Linked DNA regions of Kluyveromyces lactis. The protein of the gene in region 4 interacts with the protein of the main gene of each other region in a pairwise test. Links are inferred from orthologs where the notes say so. Each region holds a gene or a part of one and is shown on either strand. Other genes may lie near its edges. The genes, in order: HOF1, CDC24, BEM1 and NBA1.

The links.
Region 1: the proteins of NBA1 (region 4) and HOF1 interact in a two-hybrid assay, tested with the Saccharomyces cerevisiae proteins (2 studies listed by BioGRID, with this or other methods). The link is inferred for Kluyveromyces lactis from reciprocal best matches to the Saccharomyces cerevisiae genes NBA1 and HOF1.
Region 2: the proteins of NBA1 (region 4) and CDC24 interact in binary tests that used the Saccharomyces cerevisiae proteins (3 or more experiments, as listed by UniProt). The link is inferred for Kluyveromyces lactis from reciprocal best matches to the Saccharomyces cerevisiae genes NBA1 and CDC24.
Region 3: the proteins of NBA1 (region 4) and BEM1 interact in binary tests that used the Saccharomyces cerevisiae proteins (3 or more experiments, as listed by UniProt). The link is inferred for Kluyveromyces lactis from reciprocal best matches to the Saccharomyces cerevisiae genes NBA1 and BEM1.

What each region holds. Positions count from the first base shown.
Region 1 is NC_006039.1:1,064,330-1,069,002, reverse strand, and holds HOF1 (formin-binding protein HOF1), read left to right. Parts: upstream 1-1,586; coding exon 1,587-3,410; downstream 3,411-4,673. Other genes in the region: LPX2 (Lpx2p), read right to left, coding at 1-238; centromeric DNA-binding histone H3-like protein CSE4, read right to left, coding at 3,605-4,159; ARP9 (Arp9p), read left to right, coding at 4,433-4,462, 4,576-4,673. UniProt on the Saccharomyces cerevisiae protein: Throughout most of the cell cycle it forms a double ring that coincides with the septins. After the onset of mitosis, forms a ring-like structure which colocalizes with the medial actin ring. Mediates cytoskeletal rearrangements required for cytokinesis.
Region 2 is NC_006039.1:1,096,918-1,102,088, forward strand, and holds CDC24 (Rho family guanine nucleotide exchange factor CDC24), read left to right. Parts: upstream 1-1,713; coding exon 1,714-3,987; downstream 3,988-5,171. Other genes in the region: retrograde cargo receptor ERV46, read left to right, coding at 5-1,222; CIR2 (electron-transferring-flavoprotein dehydrogenase), read right to left, coding at 4,212-5,171. UniProt on the Saccharomyces cerevisiae protein: Promotes the exchange of CDC42-bound GDP by GTP. Controls the polarity of calmodulin, and the calcium regulatory process of bud emergence. CDC24 may be involved in the initial selection and organization of the budding site.
Region 3 is NC_006041.1:2,076,165-2,080,965, reverse strand, and holds BEM1 (phosphatidylinositol-3-phosphate-binding protein BEM1), read left to right. Parts: upstream 1-1,978; coding exon 1,979-1,987; intron 1,988-2,205; coding exon 2,206-3,924; downstream 3,925-4,801. Other genes in the region: putative ubiquitin-specific protease UBP16, read left to right, coding at 1-1,561; KLLA0_E23343g (uncharacterized protein), read right to left, coding at 4,204-4,734.
Region 4 is NC_006041.1:1,181,599-1,186,065, reverse strand, and holds NBA1 (Nba1p), read left to right. Parts: upstream 1-1,721; coding exon 1,722-3,542; downstream 3,543-4,467. Other genes in the region: AGC1 (citrin), read left to right, coding at 1-1,260; MTF2 (Mtf2p), read left to right, coding at 3,789-4,467.

The DNA.
Region 1 (4,673 bases), on a different chromosome or scaffold from region 4:
CTTCGATGGTGGTCTTGTTGCTCGTTGCCAAATTGGCAGCAGTATCTGAAGCATCCTTACCATTAACCACGCCGGCCTTCAGAGACTGAGCTGGAGACTGGAACACACCGTACTTCAATTTTGCTCTGTATAGAGCCTCCTTGGATAATGGTTTACCGGCACTCTGGTAAACAGAACTTTGTTCTGCACCATTAGTATCCCTGGATTCGTCGCCAGTTACCGCAGAAACTAAAGACATTCTGTTTCTGGTAATATATCTGGGTATTTTCTTAGCTACTAATAATTCAAAGTAAAAAGCGAAAGTGTTCCTTAGACTCGTACAATTGAGCGACCAAGTAGTGTAGTTTTTTGGTTTATGTTCCTCTCAAATTTGTAAAACACAATAGGACTTGGTTCACGTTCTGATTTCGATATCAGTAATTTGCTTATCCTTTGCCCGTTTTTTGAGAAGTTTAGTATTAACTCTTCTTTCTAGTGGGAGTAAACGTAACTATGATAAACCTTTACTTGTAATTACGAACGAAATACACTTGAATTCACGTTTGTTTTATAATAAAGCAACGAAGCGAATATATGCTAAAGTGAATTGTTGATTAGAAACCCTATAATTAAGGATATATAATTTCTTGATATTGCAAAGTAAATAAACTTAAAAGAAAAAAAAATTGGCTAGAGTGACTTTTTAGGGACTCCTGGCGAAAAAAAACTGGCCAGAATAATTGAGAATAAAAAAGGAAGGAACCAAGCTGAGGTACCGCAGAAACTTATACCCTCAGTGTAGTTGGAACCCTTGCTGTTGAGCTGGTGCCTTGGTTGTCATCTTTGTTTGCCGTTTTTAAGGGGACGATTGCTATTACGAATTGTATCATTGTATGTACTGTGTTGCAGAGAAATAGTCTCAATTTGGGAACAATGTCGTAATGAAAACAGGGGAAAACTCGGCTGGTTACCCTGATATACAGTTTGTACGTTGTTTTCTGTGAACCTTCTTTGATGGTTCTTAGCAGGAAGAAAATACTCACGACGTTTTTGCTAATTATTTCATTGCAATCCCGTGCGGAGCTAAAGCATATCACAAAGGAGACATAGAGAGTTTTGCGATGGGTTAATTCAGGAATTTAATTGGACTCTCAAGTCATTAGACGGTGCTGTCCATATACCAGGGTAATCGTCAGAGATTATGGGGATTTTAGGCTCTCCTATTTATCCTCGCTTTCTCTTTTCATGTTCTTGTACGGCCGGTACAGACAAAAATGATAGAGGTACAGAATTAAGCATAATTTCCCTTTTTGGTATTATTACTTGCTTTGCAATAAACAAACAAAAATATAAGTCACGTGATTGAACTTATTCCCCAATCAGGAATAATGTAAACATCATCGAACAGCACTATCACAGTGATTGTATTCAGTTGTAGAGATGGATGGTTCTGGCTCTCTCACCAAACTTTGTTCGGTGTATGTTAACAATTCACAAGGATTGAAGTTAGATGTACGGTATCTGTTTTGTCATTCAACAATCTACAATTGAAGGGAAGTTGAGGGCATAACAAAGAGTAGGTATTAGCAAGGAAAGCTATCGATTGAATGACTCAAATATACAACTATCAAGAAAGTTTCTGGGACGAAGACGATCAAGGTGTTACCGTTCTTCTTCAGCATGTTGGAAGAGGTATATGCACCTGTGAGTTATTGCTCGATTGTTTCACTAAGAGAAGTGAGTTGGAGATGGATTATGCAAGAAGATTAGGAGCACTCAGTGCAAGAATAATGAACAATCTCGAACGATATGCGGACTACAATAATATGTCTGAATCCTTAAAATATTTCCAATCCTCCCAGCAGACAATAGCCAATGGTCATTCTAAGGCATATGAGAGGCTCAACAGGGAAAATGTCGGTACGATGAGTGATTTCTTAAAGCAATATAGAGCCAGATGGTCAACGATAACGGGAAACGTGGAAAACTTAAGGAAGTTGAAAGATGAAAAGAAGAAAGCCTTGAAATCTATAGATCAAGAATTACTCAGTGCTGAGAATAAACTGAGAGAGTATCAGCTCAACAAAGAAACTGCCTTGGGCGAATACCAAAGGAAAGAAAATGCGAGAGAATTGGAAAAATGGTCTTCGATAGTGGAAGAATCACACCGTAGGAAAACCGTCTTACATCATGAATGTAAAGCTGCTAGAGCACATTGGTTTGAGGAATGGAGACATATTAGTGGAGAATTGCAAAGTTTAGAAACACAAAGAATCCAGGTCTCTAGGGAATTACTACAACAATACGCTGATTTTACAACCCAGCCTTCGGAACTGGAACTCTCTTTGATGGAACAATTAAAACAAAAACTTTCCAGCTTCACACCTGAACTTGAAATATCGCACTTTTCTTACCACCATGGTACTGGAAGAATCAAGTTGAAAAACTCTAACTCAGTTTCAACGCACAACTCAAGTGCTAACTCTAACCCATCTAATGTGATCCGTCCGAAGAGTTCTCACAAGGCGTTGGATTTAACAAAGAATGATAGGTATGTTCAAAATATAAAAAGACTATCAACCCAGCTGAAGAACACCAGGCTCAATTCAATAAATGCATTAAGTGTCGATAAAGGGTTGCCAACTCCAAAAACTGATGCTGCCCTTGTTAATTCCATAGAATCGAAGGTCCTAAATGATAACTCTGCTCCGCATTCCGTTGAAAACTATTTAGAAGTGGTTACAAAGCCAGGACATGGAGCAACATTATCAGAATCTTCAGAAGAGACTTCTTCAAATCCAACGGACTTTACTCATAGGAAAAATAAGGCAAGTTATGATTCCATGTCGACTTCTCTCTCATCCATGGCCTCAAGTGTCGATGACTCTCAAAGGTTTGCTAAATCTTGGAATTCACGCAATAGAAGAAAATCTAGACCTTCATCAATGTATTCGCCCACAATGGATACGGATACTTCTGACAACGACAATAACAACTCTCTGAAGCCACCAACTGCAAATCGTAGAAAATCCATCGCATCGGATGTCGAAACAGCATTAGAAATCTTGGAAATGAATGATCGTCCGATGACATCAAGAACGAGCTCTGGTGCTTCTAGCAACTTAACTGTGAGCAGAACAGTGTTGCCTTTCAGCAACTCTTTGAATATAATGCGTTGTAAACGTGTGACTATTGATGGTGAACAATTGAATCTACCCATCGTTGATTCCATGAAAAATCCAGTCGTAAAATATGTCAAAGCGATGTATTCGTACACTGAACCCAATGAAAATAACATACTACTTTTCAATTCTGGTGATATCCTGCTGTTAGTCGAATGCATAAATGATGACTGGTATGTGGGTGAGGTATATCAAGGTAACAAACAGCATGGTCTGGTACCAATGAATTACGTGAAAGTAATAAATTGATGTACATCACTTTCACCTTGGACGCTTTCCTTTCTGACCATTTTCACCCGTTAAATAATGAATTTGTAACCATATGTAACCAATATAAAGTTCTATACTTATATATAATTTCTGCTCTTCCAATAGACATCAAACTATTAGCAAATTGAAGCTGAGCAGATAAATCTGTACTTTAAATGATAGGAAGGATTGCTTCAAATAAATTGACCTCGTATCCTTCTAGCTAGTTGCATGTCCTTTCTCATAATTGTAATTCTTTTAGCATGAAGTGCCAATAGATTTGTATGCTCTAATAAACCGACTAAGTAGGCTTCACTTGCTTCTTGAAGAGCCATAATTGCCATGGATTGCCATCGAAGAGGTTCGCTCTCGGTAGTGAATTGATCTGTTACCTCTTTCACTAGCCTCGCAAAGGGCATTCTGGATATAAGCAAATCTGTGGATCTTTGATATTTCCTTATTTCTGCCAAAGCTAGGTCAGTAGGTTTATATCTAGTTCCCCGAGCCTTTGTTATTCTTTCATGTGCGCTGATATGATGCTCTGGAGGGTGAATCTGCTGGCTGCTAGCAGAACGCTCGGGCTGGATGTATCTTGCTTTGTCTTCACTTCTATTTAACAACAAACGTCTTCTTCTGTTTCTCTGTAATAATTGTAGTGCTCTCTGATTGATCGATTCACGATCTATAAGTGAAGCGCCAACATTGCTCAAAGATCTAGAACCGTCTATGCTCCTGATAGACTGTTCCATTATGTATCAATCTCTTTTCCGTATGGTCTTTTGCGTGTCATAGAACTAATTTCAATGTTTCGCGTGTCATATTCATCATTGAGTAGGCTAATGTTAGCTAGATAACTGTTTTCATTATTTGAAAAATTCAAAAAGTAATAGAAGATAAACAAGTTTATACTTTGAATTAGCTACTTGGATAGGAAAAGTCTCGTCATTGACCTAGCAACTGTAACTCGTATTGTTACGATAAATCGAGCACTTTGTTGTATTGTTAGAAACCATTTAGCAAAAATGGCACCATTAAGACAAGACAGTTACTTCGTATGTGCGGTATCCAGATTGTTCATTATTCCGAAAACATTAGTTATTTAAACTACTAAGATAACTTTACTAACCGATCCACTCACATTACTACATGTGGTACTTTTGTCCAGATAATATATCCAGGATCCAATAGGACTTTGGTTCAATTTGGTATTGGAGAAGATACTTTGCAGCCGCCTTCGATTTCTATTCCAACAAAAGTTTACAG
Region 2 (5,171 bases), on a different chromosome or scaffold from region 4:
CAAGATGAAGAAATCGCCGTTACTTTCCATCGATGCTTTTGGTAAAACAGAGGAGGATGTCCGTGTCCGTACACGAACAGGTGGATTAATCACGGTGTCATGTATCATTATAACGATGTTGTTATTGGTGAGCGAATGGAAGCAATTCAGCACTATTGTCACTAGACCTGATCTCGTGGTTGATAGAGACCGTCATTTGAAGTTGGATCTCAACTTGGATGTGACATTTCCTTCGATGCCATGTAACGTATTAAATCTAGATATATTAGACGATTCTGGGGAATTTCAGATTAACCTATTAGATTCGGGATTCACGAAGATCAGAATTAGCCCAGAAGGGAAGGAACTCTCTAAGGAGAAGTTCCAAGTTGGTGACAAATCATCAAAGCAAAGCTTCAACGAAGAAGGATACTGTGGACCATGTTATGGTGCATTAGACCAATCAAAGAATGACGAGCTACCACAAGATCAAAAAGTATGCTGTCAAACTTGTGACGATGTGCGTGCAGCCTACGGACAAAAAGGATGGGCATTCAAGGATGGTAAAGGTGTGGAACAATGTGAACGTGAAGGATATGTTGAGAGCATCAATGCCAGAATACATGAAGGTTGTCGTGTTCAAGGACGTGCTCAATTAAACAGAATACAAGGTACCATCCACTTCGGTCCAGGTAGTTCAATGCGTAATATCCGTGGCCATTTCCACGACACTTCGCTATACGATGCATACCCACATTTGAACTTCAACCATATAATCAACACCTTGACGTTTGGAGAGAAACCCAAGGATGGAGACAGCGAATTGATCGGTTCTGCTTCAATTTCACCATTAGACAGCCGCCAAGTGTTCCCAGACCGCGACACACACTTCCATGAGTTCTCATACTTCTGCAAGATCATTCCTACCAGATTCGAATTCTTAGATGGTAAAAAAGTTGAAACTACTCAATTCAGCGCCACGTACCACGATAGGCCTCTAAGAGGGGGCAGGGACGAAGACCATCCAAACACTGTTCATTCTAAAGGAGGTGTCCCAGGTGTTTTCTTCAATTTTGAGATGTCGCCTTTAAAAGTCATAAATAAAGAACAGCATGCAACATCATGGTCTGGTTTCCTTTTGAATTGTATCACAAGTATTGGTGGTGTCTTGGCAGTTGGTACTGTCATTGACAAAATCACATACAGAGCACAAAAATCTATTTGGGGTAAGAAGAGCTCTTAAGCAAAGATAGATAGAAAGAGAAATTGTACTACTGTTCTATAAAAGTACATATATAGAAGTTATGTGTGAGTTTGACACTTGTAATTCTTATTTTCCAGTTATAGAACGAAACTCTAGCGTATATCAATATTCAATGCCAGATATGTAGGATTATTACACGACACCTGGCAAGTGCCGCTAATTGGTGTTATACTCTTAAATACCACTGAGAAGTATCTCCTATATAAAAAGAACCTCCAGAATTTGATCCACAACAATGTTTTCGGGCCCCAAAGGTTTTGACCCAGAGATCTCAGTATTGACATTACTCTTGAAAGAAAAAAAAAAAAAGAATAGAATAAAACAATACTGAAATTAACGAAACAGCCAGTGTCTTCGAAGTGAAGTTAAAATAATTCTTATCGTTGTAAGTCTTCCAGAGCTGTACAAACAAGGTTTTTACTATCTAGGAGTGTCAGAGAATAATTCTGTTTTAGTTGCAGCCTGCCATAATGGCGGTAAATCCATCAGTATCCAATGTTTCGCTGACGAGTGTGCGTTCAAATAGCACACATTTATTAATGAACAAAAAGGTGACAGCACAGGAGTCATTATATCATATGTGTTTAATGATCAAGAAGAGATTAGAGTTTCTGCCACAGCTCCAACCATATTTGAATTTAGCGCATTCGAGTTCAGAGATTCTAGCAGAACACCAAGCCCTGCTTTTATCGCAGAAACAGCAGTCACAGCAGCAACATCGGCAGCGAGGTTCGCATTACGAAGGTAGTAGTGCACAAAGTACAAATGGTAGACTTTCCTCCTCAAGTACTCTTCATAGGGACTCTAGTTTCTCGGCTACGAGTTTTGGAGAGGACTCTGAGCATTCTCAGTCCTTTAATATGGAGGACACTTTACTGACTTTTTCTGTTGGTATTACGCCTATATCTGTCGATTGTGACCCTGTAACGCAACTTTCTAAACTATTTCAACAGGGTTCGCCACTTTGTATTATATTCAATGCCGTAAGACCTCAATCTAAGCTAACGGTGGTCTCGTCAGATGATATTAAGATTTGTAAAAAATCTATCTACGACTTCATTCTTGGTCTGAAACAACATTTTGCATTTAATGACGAAGAACTGTTCACCATTTCTGACGTTTTTTCAAATTCGACAGATCATTTCTTGAAAGTTTTGGACGTTGTGAATACGTTGCTGAATGCTGCACCTGAAGTATTCCCACAAATTGATATGAGCACACAGTTGGAATCTCAACGTCTTGCGAAACCACAGACAGAATATGATAAAATTGTCAAAGAATTCATCGAGACTGAGAGAAAGTACGTGCATGATCTAGAAGTTCTGAATAAGTATAGGAAGCAACTTTTAGACAACCAAATTATCAACTCGGAAGAACTGTACATGCTGTTCCCCAATTTGAATGACATAATCGATTTCCAAAGACGGTTTTTAGTGTCATTAGAAGTCAACGGTCAAGTTCCATCTCAAAAACAAAGAATCGGGGCCTTATTCATGCATTCCAAATATTTCTTCAAGCTATATGAACCTTGGTCCATAGGTCAAAATGCAGCGATTGATTTCATTTCGTCTAGTTTCAACAAAATGAACCCAAATAGCACTAATTTTGTCATCGGTAATAAAATGGAACTGCAATCATTCCTTCTCAAACCAGTCCAAAGATTGTGTAGATACCCATTACTTCTCAAAGATCTTTTACAACACGCAGAAAGTGATTCTAAAGAATTGGAGATTGCCTTGGGTATTGCCAAATCCATTGCAAGGAATATTAACGAAAATCAAAGGAGAACAGAAAATTACGAGGTTGTCAAACGTCTCTATGGTCGTGTGGTAAATTGGAAGGGTTACCGCATCGCTAAGTTTGGTGAGTTATTGTACTTTGATAGAATATCAATATCAACGAGCAATTCCAATGAGCCAGAAAAAGATTTTGAAGTGTATCTATTCGAAAAAATCATACTATTATTCAGTGAGGTAAGCCAGAAGAAAGGAAGCTCAATAAGTTTAAAAAAGAAATCGAATTCATCATCTGTTCTTCATCTTTCAAACTCTTCGAACACTAACATGAATGATTTCACGAAGAACACTGGGAAACTGGATTTAAGAGGTCGAATTATGATAGTTAACCTGACTCAAGTCGCTCCGATTGATAACTATTCCCTGAACATTATTTGGGAATCAGCCAAGGAAAAGGGGAACTTCATACTAAAATTCAAAAATGAAGAAACCCGCAACAACTGGGAAAGCTGCCTTCATCAGCTTCTTCGTCAAATTCGCAGCGAGTCCTATAAAAGTGTCAATACGAATAGCGATATGTCGTCATTCTCCTCACCAGTCCAATATTCTCACAACAGTGTTGCCTCCATTGGTAGCACTCTGACCAGACAAATCTCAGAAGTCCTTCCCAAAAGCCATATGTCCAATGCCCGTCAGTCATTTGCAAGCGAATACAGATCTATATCCGAAAGTTACAAAAATTCAATCCCTGACACTATGCTTCTACTGAGGGTCTCATTCAACAACGATTTTTACACAGTCTTAGTATCCTTAGACTGTTCTGCGGAAGATCTGTTGCTTGCGATTAAAAGGAAATTGGCACATTTAGGAGTAATCACGAAGGTAAAATACCAGGATGAAGATGGTGATTTTGTGATGTTGGAAAGTGATGATGATTGGTATGTTGTAAAAGATATGCTGAAAGAGAGTAATGAAAGACTATTGAACGTTTGGGCTTATACAAACTGAGACATATTAATAATATTTTACCTTTGATTGTATTATACATAGATTTCACTTTTTGGCGTTTTTCAAAGGTAAATGAAGACAATTCCAGTTTGACAGGTTCACTTGGTTGATTTAATATAAGTTCAGTTATTAATGAAAATCATATTTTACAGATATGAATAAATAAATTATATTAGATAAATAAATATTTCAGGCCAAATTTTACTCTGACTAATTTAACAAACTCAGGTAAGTGTGTACTTTGGACCATCACCTCCCTCAGGAACTTCCCAATTAATGTCCTGAGTTGGAACCTTGATGTCACAGGTTTTACAATGAATACAATTTTGTGAGTTAATCTGGAATTTCACACCCAATGGGGAGGTTTCGTCTTCAACATACTCATAAACACCAGCTGGACAAAATCTTGATTCGATTCCCTTCCATTTTGGATACGCAATACTAGTATGTTTTTCCATATCTTGCTCAGGGACTCTTAAATGGCATTTTTCGTCATCATCGTGATACGTTCCAGTTCTTGATACTGATGTTAAGATATCAAAGGTAATCTTTCCATCGGGTTTTGGATAATCTATGGGTTTGTATTTATCTGCAGATGCTGTTATAGCAGCATCTGATGCATGGTGATGGAACGTCCATGGAACTCTGCCTTTGAGTATGTAAGAATCAACACCTGAGTATGCCATACCACCGAAACCCCCTAGTGGTGTTGCTCCGAATGAAGGCCTAATATTACGCACTTCATAAAGCTCTTCATATATCCATGACTCTTTGAATGCGGTCTCGTAAGACTCTAGGTTAATTGGATGTGCGACAAGTTTTTCAGTTTCACTCGCTTCTAATTCTTCCAAGGTTGGCAACTTTATGATCTCTTCGAAGGACTTTTCTGCTGCTAGCATACCACTCTTCATTGCAGTATGTGTACCTTTGATTTTAGGAACGTTCATGAAACCTGCTGAAGCACCGATCAAACATCCACCAGGGAAGTTCAATTTAGGAACTGATTGGAGACCACCTTCATTTAGAGCTCTAGCTGCATAACCTATGCAGGTACCTCCAGAAAGGATTTTTTTGTAATAAGGATGCAGTTTCATTTTTTGGAATTCCTGGTATGGTGACACGTATGGATTCTTGTAATCTAAACCCACGACTAAACCTACTGTTACTAAACCCTCACCAAAGTG
Region 3 (4,801 bases), about 890 kb from region 4:
GGGTATTTTTAAGGCCAAGATTTCTACCGGCCAAAATGACGCTCATGAATTGACACAAGTTGTTTTGCAGACGTTGGAGAACGAAAACTTGGCTCTACAAAAATTTGTCAAGAATCACTCGTTGAATGTCATCATACCGACTTTCCCGGTACACGGATCGCTGGCTGATAGTTTATTCTGTTTAAGCTGTGGTGAATCTTCAAAAGTAAACATTCATGAGTTCACGATGTATTCTTTACCAGTACCACAGCTAATAAACGCGGATTTGGCTCAAATGATTTCTGATAATCAAACAGATCAAATCAGCGGGTATTCGTGTTTATGTTGTAAGTTGAACGCGATTATCGCAAATGAAAAGAATAGAAATTACCAAAACAATTCTGATGAAGAAAACCAGATTTTGAAGGAGTTGGAAGAGTTATTGCCCAAAGCATTTATTAACGATGATTTGGCTAGGAACTTAAGTACTTACATTAACTCTTACGAGAAAGGTGGTATCAAGACGTCAGAAATCAAATCCACCATTGTCAAGAAAACTGTGGTTGTTGATTCGCCAGATGTTTTGATTCTTCACTTGTCGCGTTCGGTTTTCGACGGGATGGGATATCAAAAGAACACCTGCAATGTTTCTTTCGAAGAAGAATTGGTAGTCAACCGCCAAGTTATTGAAAACAATAAATGTGTTGGCATCAGAAAGGATTCATATAAGTTAAGGTCGATGTTGAGGCATCAAGGTTCTCATTCTACCGGTCACTATGAATGTTTCAGACACAAACCAGAGTTTATGAAAGACATTGATACACATCAAGTCATTAGCAAGACACCAATGGTGGACTTCGGTATTGCGTCGAATAAACTTGCAGCTGAAATCTGGAATCAGGCCGTTCTGAACTCCTCTAACAAATCCGATTCTTGTTCAATCGGCTCGGAAGATTCAATCTCCTCTAACGTGCCATTCAGATCTGTTTTCCTGGACTCACCAAACTCTGCGATTGTTACTGATGATGATTACGTTATTGGAAGCTCAGAGTTCTCTAACGACGCAGATAATAAGGGCCAAAACAACAACAGTGGTTCTGGAGTTTCAAGGACGCCATCCACTTTGAAAAGAGTCACTGGTTTCCTTTCGAGAAAGAGTTCTGTCTCGGCAGCACCGGATAATAACAATACTAGCAATATACTACCTGAAATTAGCAGTTCACCCATGGCTTCATCATCTTCAGAACATAGAAACCGCGCAAGATTTAACAGTGTCTCTTCTATGACGACTGACCGCAACGCTTCGATATTATCTAGTAATGCTAGTATCGACTCTTACAGTACAGATCAAGTTACTAATACAAGTGCTACCGAAGTGGAAACTGAAACAGATTATGACGGTATTTCAATGAATGTCAACAAGAAGACAAAGAAAAGAAGATTAAAGAAATTGAAAAGTGTGGTGAAATACCCATGGTGGAGAATATCTGATACTAAAGTTAAAGAATATAAAACTTCAGATATTTTATCAGAAACTAAATTCGTTTATATGTTGTACTATGAGAGGGTACCAGTAGTCTAACCTGGTCAGTAAGCAAATACTGGAACCAACATAACAACAACCAAAAGAATAAGAAAAAATAGAAACATAGACATATTTTACTAAATTGCACAAGCGGCACCTCACCGCTCCGAATCATTCATCCTTTGTCAATTAACTCATCGATTTATGATGACCACAGGCCATGTATTACTCGATTAATTAGTTTTAGCACTTTTACGTTAACCTTATATACATATACTGTACGATCTTTAAATTTCAGATCATGTGACCTCTAAAACCCTTCTAGAATGAAATTCTTCCTTTCCTTCTGCGGGTTGATGAAGCGAGATGAAAAAGGATTGACATGAATAAAGAGACGAGTTTCAGGAATTCATAATAACAGAGTTGATAGACGAAAGCTGCAACACAAAGGCAAAGGCAGTCAATAGTGGGAAAATGTTGAAGGTATGTAATAATGCGCGTGGTATTGTCTTATGTTTGGCAATTTTGACGTAGTAGCGGAGGATTTCTGACTTTGTTAGAGGCTGGAAAATTTTTCTTTACTGAAAGAAGGTAACCACATGAATATTGCAACGTGAAGGCAAAATACTAACATATACTATGATCATTGGTTGGTGATTAAATTGAACCAATTATCTAATTTCTGGAAATTTTTGGAATAGAATTTCAAATTGAAGAAAGACAGTGTGAAACAGCGCATAACTTCTGCGGATATTTCCGGACCTACTCAAAGTCCAGGGAGCTCAGTGCAAAACGTAAAGACCATTCCTATCAGGCAATTATCTACATCATCACAGCTATCTTCGGGGTTTACAAGTGGAAAATCAAAAGATATCTCGTCTCCAGAAAAAGTAATCAAAGCGTTATACAATTACCAGGCACAATCAGCCGGTGAATTATCATTCAATAAGGGAGACTTTTTCCATGTTCAGCAAGAGGAGAACGATTGGTATGAGGCCTCCAATCCGGCGGACGGCAAGAGAGGCATGGTTCCTAAGAATTATTTCGAGATTTTTGGCAGAACAAGGCCAAATTCGCATGCATCACCGGTGAAAAGTATAAATAGAAATGGATCTGTCGGTAGTAATCAGTTATTACAGCATCATCAGCAGCAACAGCAGCAACAGCAGCAACAACAACCTTCCAATATGGGAACTCTTTATGCAATTGTACTGTATGATTTTCAAGCAGAAAAGGCAGATGAGTTAACAGCCTATGCCGGAGAAAACTTGTTCATTTGTGCTCATCACGATTTTGAATGGTTTATCGCTAAGCCCATTGGCAGGTTGGGTGGTCCCGGTCTAGTTCCTGTTGGTTTTGTGACTATTATAGATATAGCTACTGGTTATGCCACGGGAAATGATGTAAAAAGCGATATCGAATCAGTGAATCTACCCTCGGTCCAAGAATGGAAGATCAATATCGCCCGTTACAAGGCTAGCAATATCACACTAGGTTCAGTGGAACAGCAGGGTCAGTCGTACGTGCAACACCGATCACAATCCAGGCAAAATTCACAAAACCGTCAACCACACCCCAGCACGCAGCACTCGAGCGCTGCCAATACAACCTATCCTGCTGATGCCGTTTTCCTTACCTACGCTGCAGTCGAGACATTTTTCCTACAGGACGATAAGTATTGGTTCCAAGTCTCGTGTCAGTTATCCAACAACACCACGCGTATTTTGAAGCGTTATTATGAAGATTTCTATGATTTACAAGTAAAGCTACTCGATATCTTCCCTGCAGAAGGGGGTAAACTAAGAGACACTAATGGTCAGTGGACGAAACGTATAATGCCATATATACCGGGTCCAGTTCCGTATGTGACAGATACCATTTCAAAAAAGAGAAAAGATGACCTAAATATATACGTGAAGGATTTGATTTCCCTACCGCCGCATATATCACAATCACATCTGGTCAAGGGTTTGTTTGCCGTTAAAAATAATGGTTTTGACCGTGAGATTAGTAATGATGAAACTGTGGAGCTTGACGTAAAAGGTAGGGCTGATGATTCAACTCTGACTAACCAAGAACTACAACTTCCAGAGGCAATGAAGAGACTGTCTCTGATTAATAGCGCTTCCAATGCCAGTGCTAAAGTCAAATCAAGGCCGCCTAGTGGTTTCGCTCCGAGAATAACTGATGAAAAGCCTGTCAAGATCAAATTTTATTACAAAGATGACATATTCGCCTTGATGCTGCATCCTACCATTACTTTTGAAGAATTGTGCAGTAAAATAGCACCTAGAATTGACGCAGATTCTTTTAAGTTGTACATCAAAAACGGAGATGATATTGGCACTCAAGTCACTACTGATGCAGAAGTACCGGTTCTAATTCAAGAGAAACGCAAGATCTTTGTCGATGACAGCTAAGTTATTTGTTGCAAAATTTTATCGTCATAATAAATAATACAAAAAGAACCCCAAGGTGGTCAAAATTCAATTTCTATCCACTGATGGCTTTCATGCTTATCATAATGATGTACTGTACATCGCATTGTAATACTTCAACATAATTTTGACATTAACACTCTTATATTCTTTCACATTAATTCAGTTCAACAAGTAAAAATCAGTTGTTTACATACTCTCTCTATAGGTGTTAATACTTCTATCAAAATGATAATAATACTTCACAAACATGTCTAAGGACTATTCATCCAGCTCTATGTCCATGTCTGCATCCGCGTACGGATCTGTATCGAGATCCATGTCAATGTCCATGTCCGCATTGTGATCAAACTCATCATTTCTATGCATGAGATTCGGTGCCAGATCAACTCTGGAATCTGCTGCAGTCTCAACATTCATATCTACTTCATCTAATTTTGGACTATGCTGTTGGTACCATTTTACCCACAAGCTTGCTACCACAGATCGCCAGTCATACCATTTTATTACCTGCGAGTTAAACTGTCGTACATGATCGAATATTCTTTCATATATCTTATCATTTTTGTTTGAACCACTCAATTCGCGTTCAACTACATCCCACATCCTTTTATTTACAACTGCTTTGAATGAGTTCAACCCTGAATCAATTTTATGTTTCTTTATCCCATCGGTTCCCCTAGGAGCCAACGATAGGTTTTCGAAATCATATATTAGCCGTTGTTTCTTATAGTTATCGATTCCTATCGGGTCAGGACTCCTTGACCTCTTCATCTTGAAGCCTGATGACATTGTATAGCTAATACCTTGCTCATTCGCAGTGAACTATTCTAAGCAGATGATCTGTTCGCTGCTACTT
Region 4 (4,467 bases):
AGATCGGAATCATGGTACTCTAACTTCTATTTCTACCCGATCTTTGATTCGATTCATAACTTTACGTTAGGCTCCATAGCTGGGTGCATCGGCGCCACTGTCGTGTACCCTATTGACCTGGTAAAGACAAGAATGCAAGCGCAACGTAACAGTGTACAGTACAAAAACTCCATTGATTGTGTTGTGAAAATCTTCCAAACTAAGGGTATTAGAGGTCTTTACTCTGGTCTAGGCCCACAGTTAATCGGTGTAGCCCCCGAAAAAGCTATCAAATTGACAGTGAACGATTTCATGAGACAGTATTTCATGAACAAGTCTCGTACGATTAAATGGTACCAAGAAATCCTTTCAGGCGCCACCGCTGGTGCTTGCCAAGTTGTGTTTACAAATCCATTGGAAATCGTAAAGATCAGATTACAAATGAGATCAGATTACGTCGGTGAAAATGCAAGGCCACAATTAGGTGCAGTAGGAATTATAAGGCAATTGGGCCTTCGCGGTCTCTACAAAGGTGCCGCAGCATGCTTACTGAGAGACGTCCCATTCTCCGCCATATATTTCCCAACATATGCTCATTTAAAGAAGGATGTATTTAATTTTGATCCAAATGATAAAAACAAGAGAAACAAACTCAAAACCTGGGAACTCCTCTTGGCTGGTGGGATCGCAGGTATGCCAGCAGCTTATTTGACCACTCCTTTTGATGTGATTAAGACCAGATTACAAATCGATCCCAGGAAGGGAGAAACAACGTATACAGGTGTAATCCATGCAGCAAGAACGATCTTGAAAGAGGAAAGCATCAAATCATTTTTCAAAGGTGGACCGGCTCGTGTGTTGAGAAGTTCCCCACAGTTCGGTTTCACCTTGGCAGCATTTGAAATGTTCCAAGGGTTATTCCCATCGCATTTCAAGAACCATGAAACAAACAGTAACAACGACAGCAACAATAACTCAAGCTCTTTTGGCGGACCCAAAAAGCATTCCGACGTAGAGGATGATACACCCATCGTCACTGGTTTGTTCACAACCTTCTACAAAAATTTCAAAAATAATCATTACAGCCATGAACCAGTTCCGATAGAATTCTATGGTCCATCAGTGGACCCATACTCCAGTAATTTCCTCAATTACTACTACAAGAGCTGTCAAATATCAAAAGTTTTCATAGACCTCGATTACAACTTTGCCAAGTTCGATTTTAATGTTTACAGAAAGTTCCAAGATGAATTGAAACGAATTGGCCCTAAGAGCAACTAATGTACATTATGAACTAAGTTCGAAACACTATTTAATACGTATGCATTTATATCATTGTATACACACGCGCATCAAGGTGCGGTACTAATGTAAACACCTATTTATTGTCTACTTCCATTTTCTTCAATTCTTGTCACCTGACCTTCAAATACTAAGTGTTTACTATCTTTCCTGATCTGGAATTCAGATCAACAGTGAAATCAAAACATCAACACCTTACTGACTGTAAGAATCTTTGATCTAAACGCAGGTTAGAGGTTTGTCAACCCAGTATAGTAATTGTAGCAACTAACAACCATCTACTTATTGAGGTAGATACATTTATTTTTGAAATTGCTTGTTGTTGAGGGAATTCTTTGGAAACAAGTCTATTTTAGAGGATACTATCCCAGGTATCAATAACAGTTGATCTGGAAAGAAGGGAAATACTACAACCAGAAGCACTATCTTGGACAAATACAATGAGTAAAGAGCCATTGGAGAGTGCAGTTAGGCCACCAAGCGCTAGCAACAACCCTAATTACAACAGACTTTCTGCTATGATCGAGAATTACAGCTTACATGAGAGTTTGGATGATGAAATATATATGCCAAGCAAGGGAATAGATTCTGCTGAAAGGGCATCTCCACAATTGTCATATACATCTAACGATCAAAATGTGGCATTCTTCAATACGTATGGGTCCCCTCAGCCTTCTCCAGATGGGAATCGTTTACAATTAAACGGTCAATCGCCAGGAAACAGAGAAAGCATAATATCGGCTTATTCAGGCACTGTCCATGAAGGTGTTCCAGTCTCCTATATAGTCAAAAATAACAGTACTACCGCTGTGAAGAAGGAGAATTTTGAAGAGCCAGCTTTACCGCCCTTCCCTACTAAGAGCGAATGGTCAGCTGCATCAGCAGATGCATTGTCTGAATTAACAACAAAACCAGTAGGAAACTCTATTGATACGGAAGAACCTCAGGTTTCGTTAAAGAAAGAACAGATTGGGCAACCAGCTGAAACAGATACGACTCCTACTTTAGAGAAAAACAACTCATTAAAACTTGTATCTATGGAGATGTCCCATCAGAAGGTCCCTTCATCAATCGCATCAGGTAATCTAGCAAGCGAAAGTGGACATTCCTATAACGCATCTGCCACAAGTAATTCGGGATCCAGCATGGTAAATTTGGACCATACCTCGCAATATGGTGCTACTGGTAACAGTGGTGACTGTCAACATCTATCTCAACTTGAAACGACGACAATTAAAGAGGAATCGTACGATGAGCAACAACAAACTCCAGTTTCTGATTATAATAACATCCCCAAGGTCAATGTCACAGAAGCAATTTCGGACACTACACCACTAAACATATCACAGGCTCCAAGCCAGCAAGATATATCTCAGGTATCCGAAATCAAATCAATTGCTTCGAGTATATTACCACCACTAGAAACTCAAGTTAACAGTAAGAAGACCGCTGGTGCTGAACCAGAACTTGAAATCATATCAGACTTACATCCAACAGTACCACCAAGAAGCGCAAGAAGGCCCAAGTCACATATATTTATCAAGGAAAGTTTAGATGATATTCAGAATCAACTTGCAAAGGAGATGGGGAAAGGTCACAGTGCCAGTGCAAGCCGGAGTGAGAGACATTCAAGACAAAGCAGTGTGAGATCTGAAAGTTTCTTCTCTGCTACTGAGCAAGATGATACCATGGGACCACAGGAGGATGGATACACTACTAGGCCACTACCTTCTATTCCAAGCTCATCATCGTCAAGATTGGAGACCCCAGAGAACCAAATCACACAACAACCGAATGACCAGGCAGTGTGCAATGTAAAAGATCCAGAAGATGATGATGATTACGAGGACATAGTAGAGAAAGGTGCTGATTCCACTAAAGCTGCCTCATCAGTAAGGACTCCACAAAGTAAGCTGCCAAAGGCTCCCAAGAAAGGCCATTCGAAGACCAGATCCAAATCTCACCAACGTCAAGGCCAAAACCAAAGCCACAATCAAACCAAAAAAATCGGATCCAAACACAACAAAGAACTAAGATCCTTCGATATAGATACTATCTCACAACTATTGAATGTTACAAAGGGAACCCTGATAGGGTCAGAATTCTCTAACCTTGGTATGAAGATCGAAGAGAAAAGAGCTCTTGAAAGATTGGTCGATTCTCTCTCTAGATTGACTGCAGATATGGTTCTGGATCCAGAAAAGTACCAAGAAGGTTTAAGAAGACTTGAAAGAGCTACTAAAGCCCTTGATGGGTTTTGATACGAATTTTTTGTGCTTTTTCTCTTCTCAGTTTTGTATTAACGTTATCAGTAAAGAATCAATATATACCAAATGTAATAAGTATTGAAAGAAAAATTCTTAAATCAAAGAAGGAAACACTGGCTTTGATTAATAAAAGACGTTGCAAAAGATGCCTACGGTTCAATCTATTGTCTCTCACAGTGTTGATACCAGTCGTTTAAGCTTGTATAAGGAGCCAATCTAAGGACAGAGGTGGTTTACGATATGTTGAATGCTGCCAGAATGAACTCATCTCTTTTATTTAAAGCTCATCTCCATAATGTAACAACAAGAGCCACAAGAAGACTACTTTCACAGAGCTGTAAACTGGGGCAGAAGCATGTCAGCAGCACCGCAGATGCTATTGAAGAACATAATACCATTTCTGAGGTGATAGAAGAGATCAAACAGAAAAAGAACCCGGATAAAGAGGCGATGAACAGGTTATTGAATCCAGTGTTTTTCAATAAACAGATCGTCTTCTCTGATAAATCACCATCATGGACAGGGATAATGGAGACGGATAAAGATTCTGATAGCCAGACACCGCTACCCCATTCCAGTTTCAGGCTTAGTGATCATGATATAAGAGATTTACCAATATCGGCGACCAGTTATCAAAATGTGCGATTATCCGGCATAGAGAAAGCCATTCAACTAGTGGCAGAAAAAGAGAAGTTGAGAGTAGCATTGGAACACGCACTAGCCCCACATTTGAATCATTTAAAGAAGACTGTGACCACAGATAAAGAGTTGTTGGACACTTGCATGCATTACTTGGACCAATACTTGCAAAGGGATCCCAAGATGGAGGTTCAAACGAAAAGGTTCATCGAAGTGATCCACAAGAGATCTTGCGAGGAACCATCCAATTTACCACAACCTTATTCAATAACGTTACCTG